3 linked regions of the Alligator mississippiensis genome follow. The protein of the gene in region 2 purifies or fractionates together with the protein of the main gene of each other region. This does not show direct contact. Links are inferred from orthologs where the notes say so. Each region holds a gene or a part of one and is shown on either strand. Other genes may lie near its edges.

Region 1 (7,181 bases), on a different chromosome or scaffold from region 2:
TGTGGAGCCCCAGAAGCCCTTTGAATCCATATACCATTATCAACTCTTATAGTTTTTAGACACAAATCTTGGGAGAGCTCTTCTTAAACCCACATCTCTTGGAATCATGAGATTAGATGAGGATCTTGGTTTTCAATTTTTAAACAGTTGCAGAGAAAAAGCTTGAAAATGTGACTTGTGTACCCTTAGCAGCTTGAAAACAAGGAGACAAAAAGAAACCCAAATATCCAAATGAAGTACTTAAAGAAAATTTTCTTGATACCACAGTGATATAGCACTCCTTATATATCTAAAAAATAGGGTAACAGGTTGCATTCTATCTTCCAATATATATATCATTTTGAATATCATGAAAACACTGTTCTCTGTATTTCTGATTTTAGTTGGCCTAAGAGTGATTAAAAGCAAATTCAGGATCCTCCTCTAGTGCTACACTCCTTACCAGAACACAGCTTAACCCAGTGCAACAGATGCAGGTTGCACTGTCGTTACCAGATGAGAAACTTGGTATTTGTTTCTTTGTGAGAGCTGTTAAGAACTCTCCCCATGCTACCACATTTAATCATTTAAATTACTTCTATTTAAAGCTTATGCAATATAATTTGAGGTACATTTTTTAATTGGTTAGCGGCTCTTTGTCAGTTCTGTCACTGTGTGCATTTTACTATGTGGTCTTTTTTTGAAACTAGGATAAACACAATGAAGCACTTTTTCAGTTGAATATCATGAACAATTTAGAAGCCATGTTTCTCTGCTCAGGTAATTGATTTACTTAATAAAATTACAGATAAACAAAAAAGCTCCTCTATAGTGTCAAGAAGACAGAAGATGGCATGGGGGGGGGGGGAGGAGGGTGATGGACAGGACAAAAAAAAGTACATCTGATTTTATATATGTAAAATATAATTTAGAACACTGCATTAATTTAAATACAGCCCAGAAATAGACACTTTCAACCTGTTCTCAATTGCAGTTGACATTTCTTGGAGAATACTGAAAGTTATGGTGATACTCAGGCTCAAAGAAACAACTAATATTCCAAGTTAATGGCCACCTGTACTCCTTTTCACCAATTTTCTCTGTGCAGCAATTCCCTAATGGCCAAGCCAGCACATCTAAACAACTGTTGCACTACAGCCCGGTTTCAAAGGGTGATCCTCTCTCTTTCCCTTCTATGTCCGTTTACTAGCTTCCATCTTTGGACCCTTCTACGTTTCCACTCCCAAGCACAATGCAACAAGTATTCAGTCTTAATATGGCACGCATTACTCTCTTTCCATCCTAGCCCCTCATCAAAGAAAAATTATTGGTGTTACTGTCTAAAAGAAGTACTTAATTCTTCAAGGCATTAACTATATAGTTCTATAAATCCACTGGCTGCATGTCTATGCACAGACCCAAGCAAGTCTGACAAGCTTACGAGAGCAAACCCTTGGGACGTAGTAGTCAAAGTTGTATCTGGGGAGCAGCAAAGGAGAAGCTGAGACTATATATACAGCACAGTATTTTTAGGGGTGGTGATAGCCAAGGAATGTAATCAACTGAAAGACCTTATTTATATATGAAAAGTTTTCATTTACTATAGTTACAAACCCACAATTTCAGTTACTGTAACTAAAACAATGTGTGAAAGGTGAGATTTCTCTTCTTTTAAGCTGCTTTACTACAGCTGGGTAATTTTTTTTTAACAGTCTGTGCACCAAAAAGTGCAGCTTTAGCTTAAAGGGGAAAAAAGTAAAAATAAATTAAAATGACATTCTGGTTTGATGGTTTTTTAATGACACATTTTAACTTTTCCTTTTGGAAAAAAAAAATTTTTTTTTTACATTGGAAGACCACCTAAAAGTGACTTCAAAATTTACCATTCGGAGTTTGAAAGAGGTCTAAAAAAACCCCAAATTTAGTGATTGTTAATTGTATTCAACCCAAAATATGGAGGACTTTTTTTTTTTTTTTCCAATCAGGTATCCAGATTGTTGCTGTCTTGACCAAGAAGCAAAAGGAATCAAAACTTGTGGCAAAGGTAATACATTTTATTAGATATTTGCAACAAAACTTCTTTATTTGCAAGCTTCTGGGCACAGGCACCCATCACCAGGCACGGAAGATCGTAAAGACTGTAAACATTCTCCTAGGTAGAAATGAAAATGTGTATGTCATTTTGGGGGGGTTGAGGGTTGTTTTGTTTTTCGGGGGGGGGGGGGGGGTTCTCCACAGACAAAATGGAAATAAGATGTTTTGCAAGTGCAGGTGGAAGACCCCAGGGTGGGTGAAGTTTGGCAGTGACAAGAAGTAATGCCAGACAGGGAAGAGGCAATTTTTTAAACATTTTTCATGTTCCAAGCCAAATAGAGTCCAAATCCAAGAGTCAGTCCAGAACTGTAAACGGCCCTAAACCGGCAAACATCCTCCACCCCCACCAGGGGCTTCAGATACTTCCAAAGTCTTTTGGGGGGCATCCTATGTGCAGGCCCAAGCCTGGAGGCTTGGGGATGGGCGGGGAAGAGGTGCCCACTGCTGCAAAGTAGGAGCGCGAGAAGGGGAGAGTGCCATGATGAGACCTGCTTTCCTTTTACAAAGCTAGTCTGCCCACAATTAAGGGCTGTTAGTAATGTGAATTAAGCTGAAGAGTGAGAATTAGGACCAAAGCGTATATTTACTCTTTAAAATGTACAATAATATCTCATGCATAAAGCCGAGCCCTGAATAAAGAGCTGCGGACTAAGTGCGAGAGCTAGAGCTGGAGCCGAGCCGAGCCGAGCCGAGCCGGGCGGCAGGAGCCCTCCCCGCCCCGCCCCGCCCCGCCCGCACCTGAGCTCCAGCTGGTCGAGGCGCTCGAGCAGGCGGCCGGAGCGATCCGCCATAGATGTGGAGCGGTAGAAGCGGCCGCGGGGCTCGGCCGCCTTGGCGCTAATCTTTGCCTGGGCCATGGCGTTGCCTCACCCGGAGCCGCCACCGCTCGGAGCCCGGCGATGCGCCACCCCCGAGCTCCGCCCGCGGCCAGGGGGGCGGGCATGGGCAGCGCAGCCCAGTCCCAGGGGCCGCTGCTATGTAGCGGCCCGCCACGTGGGCGGTGCCGCCCGGCGGCTGAAGGAGAAGCCGCGCTGGTGCCTGGGGGCGCGGGTGGGTTCCGCCAGGACAGCCCGTCCTGAAGCCACGTCGCCGCAGCCCGGCCCCTGCGCCAGAGCCTGACGGCCCGCAACCCTAGCCTGCCGCACTGCAGCGTCTCCTCCGCTCTCCGCAGACGGAAACCCGGAGAGAAACAAGCACAATCCCGGGTCCGCCGACGTGTGAGCTCTGCCTAGAGCTGCCATAAGCAGACGAGGTTTTTTGGATAGCTCTATTAATACTTCGTATTAGATCAGCTAAATAGTTGCAAAAATAGTTCTTTGCAAGCTTTCGGGCACAAAGATCCTCCCTCCTTCAGGCATACCGAGACCCTGCTCTGCCTGGGGAAGGGTGTTTATCCGGGAAAGCTTGTAAAGAATTTTTCCAATGATTTAGTTGGTCTAATAAAAGAAATCACATCTGCCCCAAAATCCTCCTCCGCTTGTGTCCTTAGGCTACAACCACACTGGTAAGAGCTGCCCTAAGGCCTTCACTCCTATCCCAGTACCTGTGGCTGGCCTTGGACCAGGGCTGCACCAGCCGCCCACTGGTACAGGAAGTCTTCCTTTCCCACCTCCATTTTAAATGATCGTTTTACTGAAGTCCGGCTTGAGTCCTGAAGGCAAGTAAATCCCAGCTAAAAATGTGAGCTACAGCTGCAGTTTCAACCAGCTTAAGGAGATGCAATAAAAGAAAAAAAGATGTAAAAAAAAAAAAAAAAAAGAGCAAAATGTGTGCCAACATGTTTAAAATTAGCATGGAAAGAAGTTCAAACCATGCTACAGGAACAAACAGACTCAGACATTTTATTTACATAAAGCGACTTCCCAATTCTAATCATAAAGGCTGCTTCATGTTGCCAGCTAATAGTAACATTACGAAAGAGGCCTGGTAACACTACCATGCTTAGAGAAGCTGTTGTGTGGTCAGGGGCGATCCAGGAATAGCTGTACCTCCAGCTGGAAATGCTGTCATTTTGCTTGATCTTCTGGGTTCCCCTATGCTATGGTGCAAGTAATTCATACAATTTATCTACTTCACAGAGGATGGATTAACACTTGGTTACTGGGTCCTTCTACACCAGTGGTCATCAACCAGTCATCAATCACGCTGGACTGGTCAATCTGCCAGTTGATCTGAGGTTGGGGGTGCTGAGAGAGTGCATGCACATGCCACCCACCACATCTATGAACAGGGTGGAGGTGGCTGCCGCTGCACACTGGGCTTTGCTCCCTGCTGCAGCTGCGCTGTGCTCCCTGCCAGCCCAGTGGCAGGACACACATGGTGTTGTGTGGTGCTTGGGGCAGGGCTCAAAGCACAGCATACAGCGGCTGTCGCTTCCACCCTCACTGCACACAGATGTCCCACCACCCAGCCTGACTGGGGCCCCACTCACTCCACCCCTGCTCCTACCTGTGCCCTGCTCTCTCCTTCACTGCTGGAGCCTTGATTTGCCCCCCTCCCCCCATAGCCCTTTCTACTCCCCCTGTCCCTTCTCCCACAGACTTACCTGCTCAGGGGGGCACCCTGAGAACCCAAATAATTTTTTCTCCCTCCGCCTTGATTTACCCTTTCCCTTCCCCTTCACCACACAGACTGACCTGCAACAGGGGGGGAGGGGGGGGGAGGAGGCACAGTAGATCTTGGATTGTTTTTTAATTCAAGTGATCTTTTACTTAAAGAGGGTGGAGATCAGTGTTCAACGCATTCATTAATGCACTGTTGGTTCAGTGGTTCTAAACCTTTTTGTACTGGGACTCATTTGTAAGCATCAGTGGCCAGTCCTGACCTGGTGCCTCCAGGCCCCAGCCCCCCAGTGTCAGGGGGTGTTTGGCCTTGGGAGCTCTAGGTAGCCCCTTGCAGGCAGGAGATCCACCAGCCTGCAAGGGAAAAGCACCGTTTCCCACATTTTTCTCCTTTAAAGGAGAATCAATTTTTAAAGTTTGTTTGTGCCCTTTTCATATATTCTTGCAACCCACTTTTGGGTCATGACCCACAGGTTGAGAAACACTGCTTTAGGTAATACACATTAAGTCTATTTTGATGTGCATTAGCTAAAGAGCACTTTTTGTGAGATTTAATGTGCATTAGGAGAGGCTAATTTGCATTAAAGCCCACATGTAGACACACCCACTGGTGTAAAACACCACACAGCCCTACCTTGCCTCCACTTATAGGATAATTATAACAGAAATAAGGAGGAGTCAGGGAGCGCCTACTAGTATCTAAGAAGAGTGTGCTATTTGTAAGACACAATAATTGACTTAAGAAGCAACCATACACAGGTAAGTCTCCTCTGACCTCACTATTACACATGGTTCTAATAAGTCACATACAGGGCCCAGTTGCCATTCCTTTGTATCCATTTTAGATCAGAGACGACAGGAGTTTGAAAACCCCAATTTCTTTGGAAGGATACTACTTTGTCCACCCCACTGGTGGCCAACCTATGGCATTAGCAGTCATTATGTTTGGCGCACATGCCCTGGGCACTGAGTTGGAGCGGTACTCTGGAAAGGGAAAGGGATTGGAGTGGCAATCTGGGACCAATGCTGGCTCAAGGGTTTGGGCTCACCTGATTCAGTGTTGCCACATCCTGGTGACAAATGATGGCACTGGATGACAGCAGTGGCTGATAATCACAGTAGCACTACTTTGGACCTAACTTCCAGCACACTTCCCAAGAAGGCTGGACACACTTTACCAATCAACTTTTGCCTTTCAGTCAGGGAAACTGATGTTGCCCATGCTTAATGCATGCTCACAGTAGTATGAATCAAAGTGTTCTCTCAGGCTTGTCCATTAAAAATGACATCATTTCCCAAATGCTTTTGATTTAAAACCAAACCACTCAGCCAGCCTTGGCCTAGTTTACTATAATGCCCTTCTTCTCTGAGTGGCTGCCCTGTTAGATTGTGCAACAAATTTCCTTGTAGCACTTGCTCTATTTTGTTTAGTCATGAAGAACAGGTACCTTGTATCCCCAGAAATGGGATAGCAGACACATTCAGTCTGGATCTGCCACTGTGTATTCTTTTTGAGATGCATTTATTCCATCCAGGCTATAATTTATTCTAAATGGATAGTGTATAAAGAGTAAAGAATTAAACAATGTAAAAAATGTATCCTGTAAAATGCTTTATTACCATATTTACCTGAACACAAGACAACCCTTGATATAAAATGGGGTTGTCCCCCCCAATAATTAGATTCTACACACAGAAAATGTATACATTTATTATAATTATCCAGGTGTGGAATTGAATTATTGGAGGACCATCTTAAATTCATCTCCCCCCACTACTGCAGGTGGTGTGGGGAAAGGTGGTAAAGGGGTAGTAATGGGGCAGGCAGTGGAAGAGGAAGGCAGCTTGCTCCCTGCCACCTCTCTCCCCACCTATGCTTACCTCCTATTATGCTTTCCCCCACCCACCCCAGCCTCAGGCTGCCCCCAATCCCTCCTTCTCCCTCCATGTCACTTCTGGCTGCTGGTTGAGCTGGGGGCACAGCAGCAGTGCCTGCTAGGTAGGCTGAGCTCCTGATCCTAGCTGGCAGCACCTGCTGTGCAGCCTTACTTTCCTTTTTCCTACAGCAGAGGCTTATGCAGCAGAAGCTGCTATTACTATTTTTCCTCACTTAAAACATGCACCTCAAGTTCCAGCAGCTGTATATAAGAAAAATGTGGTAATTTATTCTGTAATAATTCTATTTCTTTGTCCAGTTCAGTGGTTCTTAAGCTTTATCAACTAAAGACTCTGCTCCATAACTTTTGTGAGTTGAGTGGTATCCCATTTAAAAAAAACAAACACATTTATTACTGTGTTTACCTCCTTGCACAAAGGTCAGATAGTGTCAGGAGAAAAGGGGGGGGGGGGGGGGGGGGGGGGAAGAAGAGCAGCCATGCAGGGACCAGCATGTAGTTCTCTCCTTGCAGAGGGCCCAAATAGTTAAGATATTGCGCTTTTCCATCCAAAGAGTTATTGTAGAAAAACAGTGTTACAACTCTCTGTCCCCACACCTGAAATTATTATTGTTGCTATTTCTAAGAAGGAGAGAGAATAGCAGGGAAACTT
Region 2 (7,935 bases):
GCTGCAAAGCACTTTAAAAGTGCCTGATCATGTGACATAGAGTGCCTTCATTAACTTCTGTTAGTGCACACCTGGAGCAGGGCTGGGCTGATTTTTCAGTGCAGTAATGCAACTGATCATGGAGAAGCTGTCAGGAGCCCCAGGGAGAGTTCCCATTTCTTTGTGAAAGGCAGGGCACCCTGGAATGGGTTCGCCCCGAGAGAGGGGCCCAAGCCTTGGAAAGTGTCGTGGTTCTGGCAGTGTCCAATGAGCCCTCGCTGGTCCTTGAAAATCGGGGGGAGAAGGTGTAAATCTCGCACTGAGCCGTACCCATATCCACAGCAGGTCTCCAAGGTGAACAGCCTCTGGCATGTTAGAACAACCCATGCATTTCAATGGCTGATTTTTAGATTGTAGGATCCTTAGGAAAATAAACTGCCCTCCTCTATGTTGTATCTAAACAGTTACACTCTATTTAATAAAATAGTGAAAGCCTAAGATCTATCTACAGTATTTGATTGTAAAGATGTTGCACATAACTGGGAATAATAAAAGATAAAGCCTCACCAATTCCCTTCTGTGCCCCCATGATGAACTTATAGGCAGCCACAAGGTCGCCTCTCAACCTTCTCTTGCGGAGGCTGAAGGAGCCCAGGTGCCCTCGTCTCTCCTCATAGGGCTTGGCCTGCAAGCCCTTAACCATACGAGTGGCCCTTCTCTGGACCCTCTCCAGGTTATCCACATCCCTCCTGAAGCGCGGCGCCCAAAACTGCACGCAGTATTCCAACTGCGGTCTGACCAGAGCCCGATAGAGGGGAAGTATCACTTCCTTGGTTCTGTTCGTCATGCATCTGCTGATACACGATAAAGTGCCATTAGCTTTCCTGATGACTTCGTCACACTGACGACTCATGTTCATCTTGGAATCCACTAGGACCCCAAGATCCCTTTCCGCTTCCGTGCCTCCAAGCAGGTCATTTCCTAGGCAGTAGGTATGCTGGACATTTCTCCTCCCTAGGTGCAGCACTTTGCATTTCTCCTTGTTGAATTGCATTCTGTTGTTTTCCGCCCATATGTCCAACCTGTCCAGGTCTGCTTGTAGCTATTCCCTGCCCTCCAGCGTGTCCACTTCCCCCCACAGTTTTGTGTCATCTGCAAACTTGGACAGAGTACATTTCACTCCCTCGTCCAAGTCGCTGATGAAGACGTTGAAGAGTATCGGTCCAAGAACCGAGCCCTGCGGGACCCCACTGCCCACACCCTTCCAGGTCGATACCAACCCATCCACTATGACTCTCTGGGTATGACCCTCTAGCCAATTCGCCACCCACCGGACTGTGTAGTCATCCAAGTCACAGCCTCTTAACTTGTTCACCAGTATGGGGTGGGATACCGTATCGAAGGCCTTCCTGAAGTCTAAGTAAACGATGTCAACCCCTACTCCTGCATCCAGGTGTTTTGTAACCTGGTCATAAAACGAGACTAGATTAGTCAGGCATGATCTACCTGCTACGAACCCATGCTGGTTTCCCCTCAGCATAATTTTTCCTGCCGGGCTCTTGCAAATGTGAGCCTTGATAATTTTTTCAAAGACTTTGCCTAGGATGGAGGTGAGATTGACTGGCCTATAGTTGCCTGGGTCCTCATTCCTCCCCTTCTTGAAAATGGGGACCACATTGGCCCTTTTCCAGTCCTCTGGAACCTGGCCCGTGCGCCACGAGTGTTCAAATATTCCCGCCAGTGGCTGCGCAATGATGTCAGCCACTGCCTTCAGTACCCTCGGATGGAGCTTATCGGGCCCTGACGACTTGAACGCATCCAGTTCCTCCAAGTGCCTCTGCACCATCTCAGGGTCTATGCTTGGTAGTCTGGCATCCTGCTGCTGCCTCTCTACAATCCCAGTGAGAGCCTTGTCTTGCCCCTCGCTTAGGAACACTGAGGCAAAGAACTCATTGAGGAGTTCAGCCTTGTCCCCCCTGTCCATCATTAATTGCTTATGCCCATTTAGTAGAGGTCCTATTCCACCCTGGGCCTTCCTTTTACTCCCTATATATCTAAAGAACAATTTTTTGTTATCCTTAACTTGGGATGCCATCCTCAGCTCCATGGTAGCTTTGGCCTGTCTAACTGCCTCCCTACAAGCGCGAGCAGAGGAGGTATGCTCCTGTTTAGTAATCTCTCCCCATTTCCACCTTTTAGATGCCCCCCTTTGGATTTGTTAATACAAAAAGAATATAAAAAGGGTACAAATAGCCATGCTAGTGCAATTTTTCTTATTCAGTAATAGTTCTCTTGAATAGCTGCTTGGTTTTAATATTTTGATTTGTTCAAGTTGTCCTTGCAACCCTCTTTACCTTGGAGTTTTTTGTACCTAGTTTCACAGATACTGTATATTAAACATGGCAGAGGTGAGGCACACCTCTGTAAAGGTAATCTATTTTTAAACTAAGTAGTAAGATAATTTTGACTTAAGTACTAAGTTTCATGGAAGCTTTGTGAGAGGCAAAGGTCTTTGTGGGTAGTATCTTTCATTGGACTAACTATGTAGTCAGGAGGGACACAGACAAGCTTTTGGGTACTATGTACCATTCCTCAGGTCTCTAAGAAAAAAGCAGACAGCACAGCTAAATAGCAGATAATGCATGTTTAATATTTGTTACTAGTGGTACCTTTTGTTTTTGCCTTATGTATTCCTTGTTCATTCTTAGGCCTGTTAATTGATTTTATGTAGAAAAATTATAAATAAAAGTTACATAATTTGTTAAGAACAATGTTTTGCAAGTAATACTTTCCATGTGGGGAGCTCAAAGCAATTTACAAACTAAGTCTTGCAATGCTAATCAAATGAACTGAGGCATGGAGAAGTATAATACCAAGCTCTTATAGACAATAGATCTCAAAGCATTTTATGAAAGTGGTCAGTATATCTTATTCCCTTTTAACAGATGGGGAAGCTGACATACCAAAAGATGAAGTGACTTGCCCAGGATTACTTAACAGATCAGTGGCAGAGACAGGAATAACCCAGCTACCCTTAGTTTCATTCTAATTACTGACCACACTGTTTCTCATAGCAGCACAGAATGTTTCAGACAGACATCACACAATCTTGACATATATCTGAACTAATAACAGTATGAGTTATGCACGTATCAGATGAGAAATTCTGTATTGTACTGTAAACCCAAGCAAACACGAACATGAAATAAACTAGAAGTTACTAGCATTCATTCTGGATTGATTTATCTCAGAAAGTTACTTTGTTCTATTTCCTTGTTCCTTGTTTCTTATGTCTTGAAAAGGCTCTATTTCTTTACAGTATTATTTCACTGTTTAGCAGCCTAAAATTTGATTTACTTTCTTCCCTAACTCTATTAATTTGTTCAATCACTATGGTTTCATCTCACTTTCATAGCTTTAATCTTCTCTTTGTTGGAAATTTAAAAATGAATTAGCAGTCTGACACCAATAGTATTCTCCTTCCCTGAAATCACTTACCCTTTCTTCTTTTTTTTTTTTCCATGTTGTCATAATTTTACTTGCATTTTACATTTCCTTATTTAAAGTGAACTGTATATACTCTGGCAAAACCTTCCTCACAGACAGAATTGCAGCTAGTGTTATACAGACATACCTAGTTTTAAGTTGTTTAAGCATTCATTATATAATGTTTGTTTCTCTGGGCCGCATTTTACAGTCAGATATGTGCGTATAGCTCCTCTTAAGGCCATATGGCTTGTATACATGGATCTGAATCCAGAACTGGACCCATTTGGTTTAAAAACAGCATTTTAACAAAAAATACTGATTAAAAACTTTGGAGTACAACTCACATTTATAAATATCAGTTTTTGTTGTTGTTTATAATGATGTTGTTTATAAATGTGAACTGTTCTTCAGGTCTATTAAATGTAACTTTTGGTAAAATTGTGTGTTTACACCTAATGGCCTCAGTTTTGGCTTCAAATGCACATCTACAAGTCACAAGGGCTTAGGGAAGCTGACTGTGCATATCTGACTGCCAAATTTTCCGTGTGTTTGTCAGCATCTTGCAGCTGGTGACACCACATTGGTTTAATTTGTAGTTTGTCTTTTCTTTTATAGAACTAGGACTGTGGCAATTGTAAAGGGAGAATTGTACTTGTCTAAATGTGAAAGCTTTGCCAGTTATTCAGGTACACTATAACACTGGATGGACAATTTTGTTCCAGCAAGAGATCCTTTTTTGGTCTGATTTAAACCTTTTCCAAACCGATGTGAGCTAAACTAAGAAAAGGCCTTATGCTGACAGAAACGAGTTCACACACAGACGTGCAAGCAGAATTTAAACACGCTTTAGCTTGTATTGCTGTAAGCTTCAGGCGTAGATGTGCCCAAAATGAGTCCGGGGAAAAAAATCTCCCAGATACCCTAGCGTCAACCAGCTACCAATTAACTTAGTAGAGGTTGCCCCACCCATAGGCACAGCTAGGATTTTGAGAAGTGGGGTGGCAGATGCTGCAGAGGTGGATACAACCCACTGCTCCTTCCCCAGGGTGGATCCAGGAGAGACGCGAGGGGGTGCGGCCACGGACGGGCGCCCCTGCCGGGTAGCACGGGACCCTGCGGGGCGCCCTGAGCTCGGCGCTGCCTTCACTCCTCCCTCCTCTAGCCTGGGGGTGAAGGATGACTGGAAGGGAAGTGGGGAGGTCCCCGGGGCGGAGGTGCCCAAACCCCCGCCGGCTCCAGTCCCGCGCCTGCCCAGCTCCCGAAAGGCGGCCGCGCAACTGGGCAGGGCTGGCGGGTGCGCGCCATCGATGGCTCGGCGTTCCGCGGGGGGAGGGGGAGAGGAGCCCTGCGGAGCGCGGAGCGCATCGATGGGCCCCGATAAATGTCTGGCTCGGATTGAGGTCGCCATTTTAGATGGAGACCGGGGCGGGCGCCGAGTGAGGAGCGGGCGGAGGAGCGGCGGCGGCGGCGGCTGCGGCCGGGGGCAGTGAGCGCGGCCGGGGGTGGGGAGCTCCCTGCCCCCGGCTGGCGGGATCCCCCAGCCCCCGCTGGCCGGAGCCCCCGGAGGTGCGTGTGCGTATGCGCGCGGGGCGCGGCCGGAGCCCCTGGCGGCGGGTCCCTGCCGGGCACGGCCGCGGGGCGGGAGGGGGCCCGGCTCGGGTGGGGACGGCAGCGGGCCGGACCTCGCCTAGCCGCGGGGCCGGGCGCCTCTGTCTGGAGCGTCTCGCTAGCGTGGTTGCCTCTCGCTGAAGCCGGCGGCTCGGCTCGGCTCGCCTCGGCTTGGCCGGCCCGTTGTCCTTGGCCGGGCTCTTGCCGTCAGCTTAGCTCTGCGCCACGGAGCGAGGCTGTCTGTGGAGCAGGACCGTGGGTCGTGCCGTTGCGCAGAGCCCTGCCGACTCAAGGGCCCGCTGTCCACAAGTTTGATATGCCTCTAGTTAAAGCAGCGTTTCGCAAGGGTTGCAACCCAAAAGTGGGTCGCAGGAATACATGAAAGGGTCGCAAATAATCATGGAAGAACATAGAAAATCACAGATCTTCTTCGTTTAAAGGAGAAAAATGTGGGAAACCGCAGCTATCTCCTTGCAGGCTGGCAGGGGGCTCGCTACTTGAACCATTTACTGGGTGGTGACTGGCCATGATGTTTACAAATGAGTCCTCATACAAACAAGGTTGAGAACCACTGAGTTAAAGCATTCTCTTGCCTAACGTCTGTCGCCCATCAAGTTCTCAGGGACTCCTGCCTGGTCCCACCTTCTTCCTCAGTAGCTTTTGAGCAGTACCCAAACAGTGTAAGGGTCCCCCAGTTCAAGTTGCCCGAGCGTGTGTCTTGGAGGCACTCAGAAGCGTGCAGAGAAGAAGAATGTACTTTGCTCTCCTCCTTGCATGGTCTGATGGCTAAAAAATGTCTTGAGAGAACCTTTGTAAAAGGCTATTTTAATTCCTTTATTTTGGAAAGCCTGCAAATGTCTAATGGATTCATAGAACTGAACAGATACCAGTTGAATAATTGCTAGAGAGATAAATATGCTCACTTAGGGCTTGATGGCAGAAAAAAGTATATACGAATTAATTATTGGTATGACTTTTCAAGTTGCTTGGTTATGTTGGTTAAGTCTCTACCTCTCCTTCAGAACTGAAGTGAATGTAGTTTATCTTAACAAATTCAGTGTCTTTGTGTAAGCAGGCCATAGAAGATACTGTTTGTCCTTAAACTGACACATTTGTAAATTCTTCAACTGTTTCATGAACAAACCTGAACTGTTGTACAGTTTGTGGTGGTTACATGGAATAGCTAAGACTGTTGTCATGTCTTGCTCAAATTGGGACAGTGATGCTGGCTACATCTGAAGTACACAATTCATGCAGTTGATGTCTTCAGCACTAGACACTTTATTGTGCAGGAGAAGTAATTGACCCAACTGAAAGAGGAAATGCTGAAAGTACTGGGAAGAAAATGTGCACTGTTTTTTTCCACCTAAAAACGCATTCCTTTTTATCCACCTTTTATTTATCTATTTATTATATGCTTTTTTTTTCTCTTTTGAAAAATGAGCCTGTTGAGTTTAAATTTAGAAACTATGGCATTCTATCTTAAAGTCTACATATGCCGTAGTGGCGCACTGATAAAGGTTTTCTTGGCTGATACTGGTAGTCTATTATTAACCAACTGTGTCGGCCGCTCCGATAACTGATTCACTTTAAGATGCAACACATTTTGACGTACTGACACAATTTTTTTTGGCATGTTCCAGCATCACATGCATTAATGTCCTGGTGCTTAAAAATAGTGGTGCGCTGATGCATCAATCCATATTGTATTGGCACCAATAAGAGGTAAAATTGACATTATTGCCAATTTTTTGGGGGGGCTGATATGGCAGATAATGTCACTGATAAATGCCATGTGCATATGCGCAGCTGCAGCACGCGCTCAGCCAGCTCGGCAGTGTAACAAAGGGCTCTCTCTGGCCCGGTCCCCCATCAGTCTGCCCACCTGTTTGGGGCTAACCACCTGCCACACTTTCCTGCCATGCCTTGTTGTTTTATAATTGGTTCTTATCAGGTGGAAAGCTGCCCATTCTTGCCCTGATGCCAGGGAGTGCTCTCTGCAGCTCTGATCCTTCCCTACACTGCAGCCCAAACCTTGCAGATGGCATCCAGGTGACATACTCCCAGTCTACAGCCAGACCAAGCTTAGCCCTCATTGTCAGGCCTCATACATGCGCCCATACCTCATCTCACTTAGGGCCTTTCATGCTCCACCCCCTGTCAGGGTCTCTTTCACGCATCAAGAACTTATACTGCCTTGCTCCCTTTTAGAGCGGGTGCATTTGGCCATAGGTTTTATCTAGCACACACCTTGGGTGGCAGACATCACACACACCGGGCTCCACATCTTCTACCCCCTCACTGGGGCTTCCCTCCTTGGTGGGAGCTCAGGTGGCTATAGCCATGCATGGCCCCAGCTGCTACCCACAGTGATGTGGGGGCTAGAGTTATTGAGGCACCCCAGCCTACTTTCTACTGGGGTGGTATCTGGTCTGGTATTTTTGTGGAGGCTCCCACACTGCTGGGAGCCCCACCAGGCCACTCATTCTCAGCAGGGTGCAGTTTTAGGTCATGGCCAGGACCAAGAGCCTTCTGCAGATATTCTCATACAGCAGCTCAGCCAAGCAACATTTCTGCCTGGGCTGCCAGCAGCAATCTGCTCAGTTTATATAAGCAGCCAGTGTCTCAAAATGGCTGCTGAAATCAAGCACCTGCTGGCTGTTTGGCTTAGCCTTTAAAGTGGCAGGCACCAACAGTGCCTTGCCACAGGAAGCGTGCAGAGTAGCATCTTGCTGATAAGTCTGTTGGGGAGGGAAAAGTTGGGGGGGGGGGGCAACCCATCCCCAGGAAGAGTCTGATGCTGGCCCCAGCCCACCGCAGCAGCCTGCCCTTACCCCCACGCACGGGGGGGGGGGGGCA
Region 3 (7,801 bases), on a different chromosome or scaffold from region 2:
GACCCAGACACAGCATATCCCTTCCTTGCGCTGTCGGAGGATGGGAAAAGCATGAGGCTCGGACAGAAGCAGTCGGACATCCCTGACAACCCCAAGAGGTTCACTTCCAGCCCCAGCGTCCTGGGCACCGAGGGATTCGCAGCAGGGAGGCACTATTGGGAGGTGGAGGTAGGCGACGGGAACTCCTGGGCTGTGGGGGTTGCCACCGAGTCCGTGAAGAGGAAAGGGCAGCAAGATCTTATAACAGGAGGGGTCTGGGCCCTGCGGCGTGGCTGGAACGATCAGTACACAGCTCTCACTTTCCCCCCAACCTTGGTCTTGCTGGAGGAGAAGCCCAGGATGATCAGAGTCCACTTGGACTACGAAGAGGGGCAGGTGACCTTCTACAACGCAGAGAACATGGTGCAAATCTACCAATTCACTGCCACTTTCCACGAGAAAATCTTCCCTTACTTTTGGCTCTGGTCGCCCAACTCCCAGCTCCGGCTGCGTCCCTAAAGGGTATCACTGTTCTCAGAGCATCTTGCAGAAGTAGTCCTGGACGCTTCATCGGAGCCAGAGAGACGGGGTCTATAGGATTGCACACTCGGGGATGCTCTGCATCTGTTTCACAACAAACCACACAAACTCCCTGCCTACCCCTGGATCATCCCCACCCAGTGCTGCGAAGCCCCTCGAGAGCGCTCCATACTCCACGTTTGAATGGGTAAGGGGAGGGCATCATAGCACTCTGCAGGGGCACAGGAAGGAGGAAAAGCCACCTGAGACACAGGTGGCTTCAGTAAAAGAAGCATGGGAGGAAGTTTGGGGCATAAATACTGAATAGGAACGCCATTCTGAGAGGAGCCTGGTGGCTCGAAGACCTGGGGTTTGGTTGCTGGCTTGAATCGTGACTTGAATTAAGATTGTTCATCTCTGGGGCAGCCGATGCGGCATCTTTCCTAGACCCCAAATTCGTAGCAATTTTGACCGCCCTCTCCTTCCTTGTTTGTGCTTTCCTACTGGCTTGAAGCAGTAACCAATAGTAAACGGTGTTCATAGGCTGGTTTCTTCCTCAAAAGCTTTTGAGCAAATCAAGCTAAGTGTTCCTGTGTCCTTGCAATGACATGGGTCTGCGACATCCGCCAAGGGGTTGGGCGCCAGTCGGTGCAGCTGTGATGCATCGAGATTTCCGTATGGGTATTTCATGTTAAAGTACCATCTAGCGGCAGGTATGGGGAAGGTCCCCGGGAACCTTGCAGGCTCTGGCTTCCTGCTCCAGAAATTTGGATTTTACCATCGGAAATTCTGCTGCCGTCCTCCTCCGTTTCGGTGCTAAGACAAGCTTTTAATTTCAGCTGGAAAGCAAACGCCTGTTTCTCTAGCCTCTCATCCCTCTGCTCCTGGGATCTAGGGGCTGTCACCAGGGAGCATTTTGGTGGAAAGCCCTTGGCAGAGCGATGGCAGCATATCAATGCCCCTGGGAGACTGAGTCAGACCTGCAGGGAACGGCCACCAACCCAACATTAGCAGCTCTGGCAAATCCTGGTCACTTGGGAGAAGTCTCTTATTCCAGATGCATTCACAGACCACTTCCACGCCTCTTCCTGCAGCCATGTGAAACCGGTCCCAGGCAAGCTGCCATCGCAGGAGGAAACGGCCCATCCTAAAGCTTTGGCTTGGGGGATGCTGTCCCTGTGTAGCACCTTCCTTTTCACCTTTTAAAGACACGCATGCGTGTTCATGTGATAACGGTACTGGAAGGGGGGGAAAGGAATTATCAAGAAGGGAGGGAATTGAACCCAGATGTTGTGACAGTTCAGGGAGGAGGCTGAGAAATGCACAAATGCATTTTCCTCTCTTGGAGGCCTGCACATGTCTCGCATGAGCAGGGAGGCTACAGAGCCGCACACAGCACCTCTGCCAGGGACCGCGCTTCCTTTCCGCTCGGCAGCTCTTCTCGCAGGCAGGTGAAAGCGTGCCGCAGCACGCCGCTGTGCAAGGATGCTCGGTGGACTGCTCGTTCTGATGGCTAACGAGAGAGAACAAGTAAACCAGACCTGGGGGTGCGGGGGGAACTACAAAAAATAAACCAGAGCGGTGAGCTGCAGGCGCCTGGTGACTCTCGCCAACTGGAAGATGCTAAAGAGCCAATGAGTTAAATATGATCTGCAAAGGGGGGGAAATGAGCTTTTGGCTTTTTTTCCCCTTTGGATGCATAAGAAAGCCATGGAACATTATTTTCACAATAGAGGACTGCATTACTAGTAGGGTTACTATGAGACAAAAGCCTGAAAACTGAGCAGCTGAGAGGGGAAGAAAGGCTTAATCAGACTATTTGGATTCTTTTGGGGTTTCTCTGTTAGCCCCAAGCTTTGCTTTTTGCATGTTGCTGCTTTTCTTTTAGCTGTTCATTGCTGATAGATAAGTGGTGTCACATGAAAGCAATAGCCGGGCTCCCCTTGTCCACGCGTACACAATGCATGGATTAGGGATCATGAGCTGCTCTCTGGCTCAGCCAGAACGGCCTCAAATCATACTCTAAGTCAGTGTCTGTGGTGCGGGTACCACCAGTGGTACACGTTGGCAGATTTATTAGAATTATATGACAAAAAATTAATGGTTGTACTTCAGGCCAAGCTGAAAAAATTGCTGGTGGTACTTAATGCTGTATCATTTTAAACTGCAGTTTGGGAACCACTTCTCCAAGGAGGTTTCTGCCCGGGGTTGGGATAGTGTCCCAAGGGACATTTGGAGCGTGGTCAAGATTGCTGAGCCTCCCTTGGCACAGGGGCCATCTATCCATTACCCTCCAACCTTGTATATTGGGATCGCAGCTCTGCATGATAAAGAAGTGTTACTTAGCGCCTGTTTAAGTCAAACACCTGGAAAACAATAGGGAGAAAAAGGTTTAGGGATGAATGATTCACCCACCTCAATCATAACCTTTCAAATGCAAACTGAAGAAACCCCTGCCAGGTGCTTATTCTAGTTCTCTAGGAATACAAGGCTAACTAACCCCAGCATTTCTTCGGTTAAAAAAAACATCTAGAAAAACAAAATAAGAGATAAATTTAAGGTCTAATCCTACACTAAGGTGACTTTTTGGCTGAATGGAGCCCCATTGAACCCCAGTGCGGAAGAGTCCCAAGAGTGCCGCCCCATTGCTTTCCATTCATGTTCGCACTGATCCTTTCATCTACAGCAACGGTTCCCAAACTCTGACGGGTTGCGCACCACCAGTTTAAAATGATACAACCTTACGTGCCACTAGCACATTTTTCAGTTCAACCTTAAGTACCGCCAGGAAAGTTTTGTCATATAAAGTAGTTGTAATAAATCAGTGAATGCGTACACTGACAGGTTGTGGTGGTACGCGTACCGCTGATCTACAGCATTACTGGAGCCGAGGGGTCGGAGCAGCATTTCCCAATCCCACGGTCCTAACCAGTGGAATACACAAGGGGCCGTGTCATTGAGGGTGTGATTGGTGTCTTTGTGTAATTGCTGTCAGTTGTGTGATTGCTGTCTTCTAACACTCAAGACCTATCTGCAGCATTGACCTAAACATCCCGCTCAGTGACACAAGGATGTGCAGTGGTCTTTCTCTACACTGTGCACACACACGTACACACACAACATTGGTAATGAAACCCGTGACGCTCCCCGCCGCGGCCGCCTGGAACTGACATTTTGTGCAACGCCTTTTTATTTTGAGCTATCAGCCACCTTTTACCAAAGCCTTCACACAAAAGCGGTGCCGCATCCAAAGCAGACGACCCTCGTTGATCTTGCAAAGCTCTCACTTGGATCAGAAATGACAGGAAGGATGTGGAAGGGAGGGAAGGGTGGGGATCATGGGTTGGGGGGTGGTTGGCTTTGTCATCAGTATGTGTGATTTGTGAAATAAAGTACATCTTTTCCATCCCCAAATCGGGGTATAAACTTTTCTTCTGTCGTGTATAGTGATAATGTAATGGTTTGGGGCTTGTGTTGGGCACCAATAGGGCCAGGAAGGAATTCTTCTCCCTATTACAGGATTCTGGTTTTCTTTTGTTTCGTCTTCCTCTGATGCGCTGGGTGCGGGTCACAGCTACGGCTGGCGATGCTGACTGGCCCCTATATAGGAAGCCCAGATGCTCCTAGATGGAAGGTCCTGAATGCTCATCCTCTCGGGGGCCGCGCCAATCTCCAAATCTGGGGTCAGGAAATAAGTTTTCCTCGAGTCAAACTGTCAAAGGCTGCAAGGGGGTTTTGCTTTCCCACGGAGCATGGCTGGCTGGCCTTTTCTCTGATCGTGAGCAAACACTAGCCCAGTCCTTCCCTGGCATTGCAGCGACAGGGCGCCGTGTTTCCCACGACACGTTGTAGGGTGTCGCTCATCCCCACCACCCCGCGGGGCAGCAAGGTGCCTGGCAGCAGAGATGCGAGGCAGCTAGGGTGGTTTGCTGTCTTCATCCCATGCCTCCAGGAGCTGGGGCTTGACAGGAAAGCACGGAGCACCGAGAGGCTCGTCCTAAGCTAGCGAGGCCGGCCTGGACACTGCGGGAATGGCTGCCATGTGTGCACCTCATGGCTGTGTGAGGCTGGACCAGGACCTGGGGGCCAAGCTGGGTCTCTAGAGCAGCCTCATGCCCCACAATGAAGCTGGGTGAAGGGACTTGCGGACTACAAGTCCCAGCATGCAATGCGCCCGGCGGCCCAGCTTCCCCTTTGGGCCAAGAGGAGCATTGCATGCTGGGACTTCCAGTCTTGTTGGCGCTTGCGCCAGCATGGGGTTGCATGCTGTTGGCTTGCTCACGAGAAAAGCCGCCGACGAGCCCATCGAGCAAGCTTAGTGGTCGGGTCTGCTGTCAAACAACCCTGGGCGAGGGAGGAGACAGGGCTAGGCTCGTTTCCATTGGCCGCACACGAGCCTCCTTGTCTGTTCTATTGGTCAGCACTGAGGAGGCCTGTTAACCTCTCAGGGACAGGCTTGGGGGGATTGGCTGCCGGCAAGGCGAAGCGCCGCGTGCTATTGGTCACTCTTTCCGTCGCTCAGCGCGACAGCTGGGCCGGGCGAGAAAGGGAAACGAGACTGGCGCCAGGTGGGCGGGCTGAAATTGGGTGCCGCCGCTGCTGATTGGTCGGCGCGCTTTGGCGCCAGCTTCGGAGCGGGGGGGCGGCGGAGCGGGAGAGCGCGCGCGCGCCGGCTGCGCTCAGGGACGGGGGCCGCGGGGGGTCAAAGCTCCCCTGCGCTGACAGCTGCGCTCAGCGCGCCCGCCGCCATGGAGCCCCCCGCCGCCGCCGTCAAGGCCCTGTTCCCCGCAGAGCTCTCCCCGGTCACCGGCCTCGGCTTCGCCCTGGGCCGCCTCGGACGAAGGTGAGACCCCTCAGAACCCCCCTTACACAAGCCTGCCCTTCCCCCACCCCTCAAACCCCCCTTTACACAGGCCTGCCCTTCCCCCACCCCTCAAACCCCCCTTTACACAGGCCTGCCCTTCCCCCCCACCCCTGAGGTGACCCCCACATCCCCTGGTCTCCCCTAAACCGAGGCGAGTGGCTGGGTTTGGCCGCCGGCCACCATCCGACTTTCTCACGGGTCTCGTCCCAAAATCGATTCCAGCGATCGCACCCGTTGCAGGGAGCGTCGTCGTCTTCCAGGATTTCGAACCGTGCCGATTTTGACTTAATCTGCACCGTTCTGGTAGGGCCGAGACGGGCGGAAGGAAAACTGAGATTCTCTTTAGAAAGTGTCTGATTCTCGCTTGGGAAGGCGCAGGTGGGGACCCGAGACGCTCCAAAGCCGGAAAGCAAAGAGCGCGCTTTCAGTCGCGGCGGTTGTGAGCCCCCGTTCGTGGTTGTAGAGCTTGGTGGGTTTTCGCACGAGCAGTGCCTCTGTGGAAATACACGTGAGAACACGCGGGGGTTTATTTCCTGAGCGGCACGGGGTCCAGGCCAGTGGCGGGGAGTGTGATGGAGCCACTAAGTACGCTGTCCTTACAGCGACTATTCAAGACTGCTGGGTCCTGGAGCCGTGACCACGTCGTTCATTAAACCAGCGGTTCTCAATGCTTTTTAGACTTGAGGTCCTCCAAATCTAATGGGTGTCCCCGCATTAGACTCGAGGCCCTCCTCAAAAAACACCGGCTCCCTGCTCTCCCTCACGTCGCTCGTGAAATGATACCAGAGCAATTTTTCTGTTGCAAAGAACTCGAAAAGCTCGCAACGGGTCGACATGTTTTCTGATCCCTACTTGAAGCTTGGGTTTATCTTGTAAATTGCACGCGGTTTATTTGTCGTCTCTCCTTTTTCTTAATGAAAACCATTCAATAAAATAACTCACTTATTTTGGGATCTTTGTAGCCAATTTGAAAACTCTGAGCAGATGCTGGAAATGAAGAACGGTAACAACCTACAAAGAATGGCCTCGTCAGAATCTACGGACTCAGGTTAGATTGCTTTAATCGCAAATAAAAGCTTGGGAATGAACAAGTGGCATCCTCTTGTTTGCTTGATGTCTGTAATGGGCAAACTTAAAGTTTTAAAAGTCCAGGCTAATGCTGCACGCTCTCGGATAGCTAATCACGTTAGTCTGAAGTCAGGCAGAAGATGGTGCGGAGTAGCACGAAACCAACTGATTCAGAGGCACGACCCGTTATAGGCACCAACGTACTGTGTCAGGTGCTATGAATGCAGTGCCAGAAAGCAAGGGTTTTATATAGAAGGGAGCAAGGAGAGGAGCTGCTGCTAAGAGAGGTAAGAAGTAGATTGACTGGGTGAATTAAAATGCAGTTAACTGCCTTGTTCATCTTAAATTGATCTAATCGAACCACTTATTACTAAGTCTCTTGGCAGCTGTTTCTTCCCTCTGTTCCCTTCTGTATAAAAGCTCTTCTTTCTGTCAGCTGAACAGCTTGCTGTCAGAGATGCCTCAAGCCTTCAGAACTTAGTTAAGCATCAGCTGAGGCTTTAAATCACGGTTTTGTGGTCAGTGTCTGTGCAGGTGCTAATAAGGGAGGATCATTTGTGTCCAAAGCCAACTTCTCCTATACCTCCTGGTGGCGCCACATGCTGGTTGTCCCCCTAACTGCTGAGCTTGCCCTCTGGGGTTAGTTGTGTGTTAGTGATGCCATCTTTGTCTAGACTAGCAGGGATGTGGCTGGTGTGCTACATACAAAGCTCCATGCCCTCCCTCCCCAAGTGCAGTTCTGATCTCCTTCTCCTGCCTGACCTGCTGCTCTGCTTTCTGTTCCCTCCCTGATCTATCATATGCCATGCACATGGGCTGCCTGTGCCACTAGTGTCCACCCCTGGTCTAGCCCTTGGAAAGTCCTGAGTGGGGGAAAGGTGCTACCTTTGTTGCTTACAATTGCTTAATGCTTTCCTAATCCTAAAGACCTGAGCATCAGGGATTAAAGACCACCTTTTTCCTTAGATGTGTTCCCCCTTTCATGTGCAGCCTGATAAAACTTGCATAAAGACAGCAAAGCGGAGTGAGATAACAGGAGGGTGCAACATGGAGACGTGAAGAGGCAGCTTGCTTCTGTCCACTTGTTTAAAACAATTCTTCCAGAGTCCCTTGAGGATATCCTGTAAGCTCCAGCAAAGCTGCTTCATTGTTCTCCTTTAAATACTTCCTTAAGACTCCTTTCGTTATCATGCCTCCAAAGAGCAGTGATTAGGCAATGGCCCGAACATGCCAGAAGCCTACATTGCTGACCAATTTTTCTTTGTATTTGCTCATCAAGGTGAGGTGGATGGGTGTGGAGTGCCATTGTGCATAACGATGGGTAGACATCACATCACACCCATACAGACATCTGAAGCTGTTTGGGGCAGG

Evidence for each region. The genes of interacting proteins can lie anywhere in the genome.
Region 1: the proteins of RAF1 (region 2) and BAG2 purify together in Homo sapiens (co-immunoprecipitation; 3 studies listed by BioGRID and IntAct, with this or other methods). This does not show direct contact. The link is inferred for Alligator mississippiensis from reciprocal best matches to the Homo sapiens genes RAF1 and BAG2.
Region 3: the proteins of RAF1 (region 2) and CDC25A purify together in Homo sapiens (affinity purification with western blotting; 3 studies listed by BioGRID and IntAct, with this or other methods). This does not show direct contact. The link is inferred for Alligator mississippiensis from reciprocal best matches to the Homo sapiens genes RAF1 and CDC25A.

Annotation. Positions count from the first base shown.
Region 1 is NC_081824.1:51,387,161-51,394,341, reverse strand, and holds the start of BAG2 (BAG family molecular chaperone regulator 2), read right to left. Parts: upstream 3,051-7,181; 5' UTR 2,931-3,050; coding exon 2,812-2,930; intron 1-2,811. UniProt on the Homo sapiens protein: Co-chaperone for HSP70 and HSC70 chaperone proteins. Acts as a nucleotide-exchange factor (NEF) promoting the release of ADP from the HSP70 and HSC70 proteins thereby triggering client/substrate protein release.
Region 2 is NC_081835.1:30,639,760-30,647,694, forward strand, and holds the start of RAF1 (RAF proto-oncogene serine/threonine-protein kinase), read left to right. Parts: upstream 1-4,879; 5' UTR 4,880-5,034; intron 5,035-7,935. UniProt on the Homo sapiens protein: Serine/threonine-protein kinase that acts as a regulatory link between the membrane-associated Ras GTPases and the MAPK/ERK cascade, and this critical regulatory link functions as a switch determining cell fate decisions including proliferation, differentiation, apoptosis, survival and oncogenic transformation.
Region 3 is NC_081828.1:218,038,074-218,045,874, reverse strand, and holds the start of CDC25A (M-phase inducer phosphatase 1), read left to right. Parts: upstream 1-4,751; coding exon 4,752-4,807; intron 4,808-5,020; coding exon 5,021-5,341; intron 5,342-6,324; coding exon 6,325-6,410; intron 6,411-7,801. Other genes in the region: E3 ubiquitin-protein ligase TRIM39, read left to right, coding at 1-498. UniProt on the Homo sapiens protein: Tyrosine protein phosphatase which functions as a dosage-dependent inducer of mitotic progression. Directly dephosphorylates CDK1 and stimulates its kinase activity. Also dephosphorylates CDK2 in complex with cyclin-E, in vitro.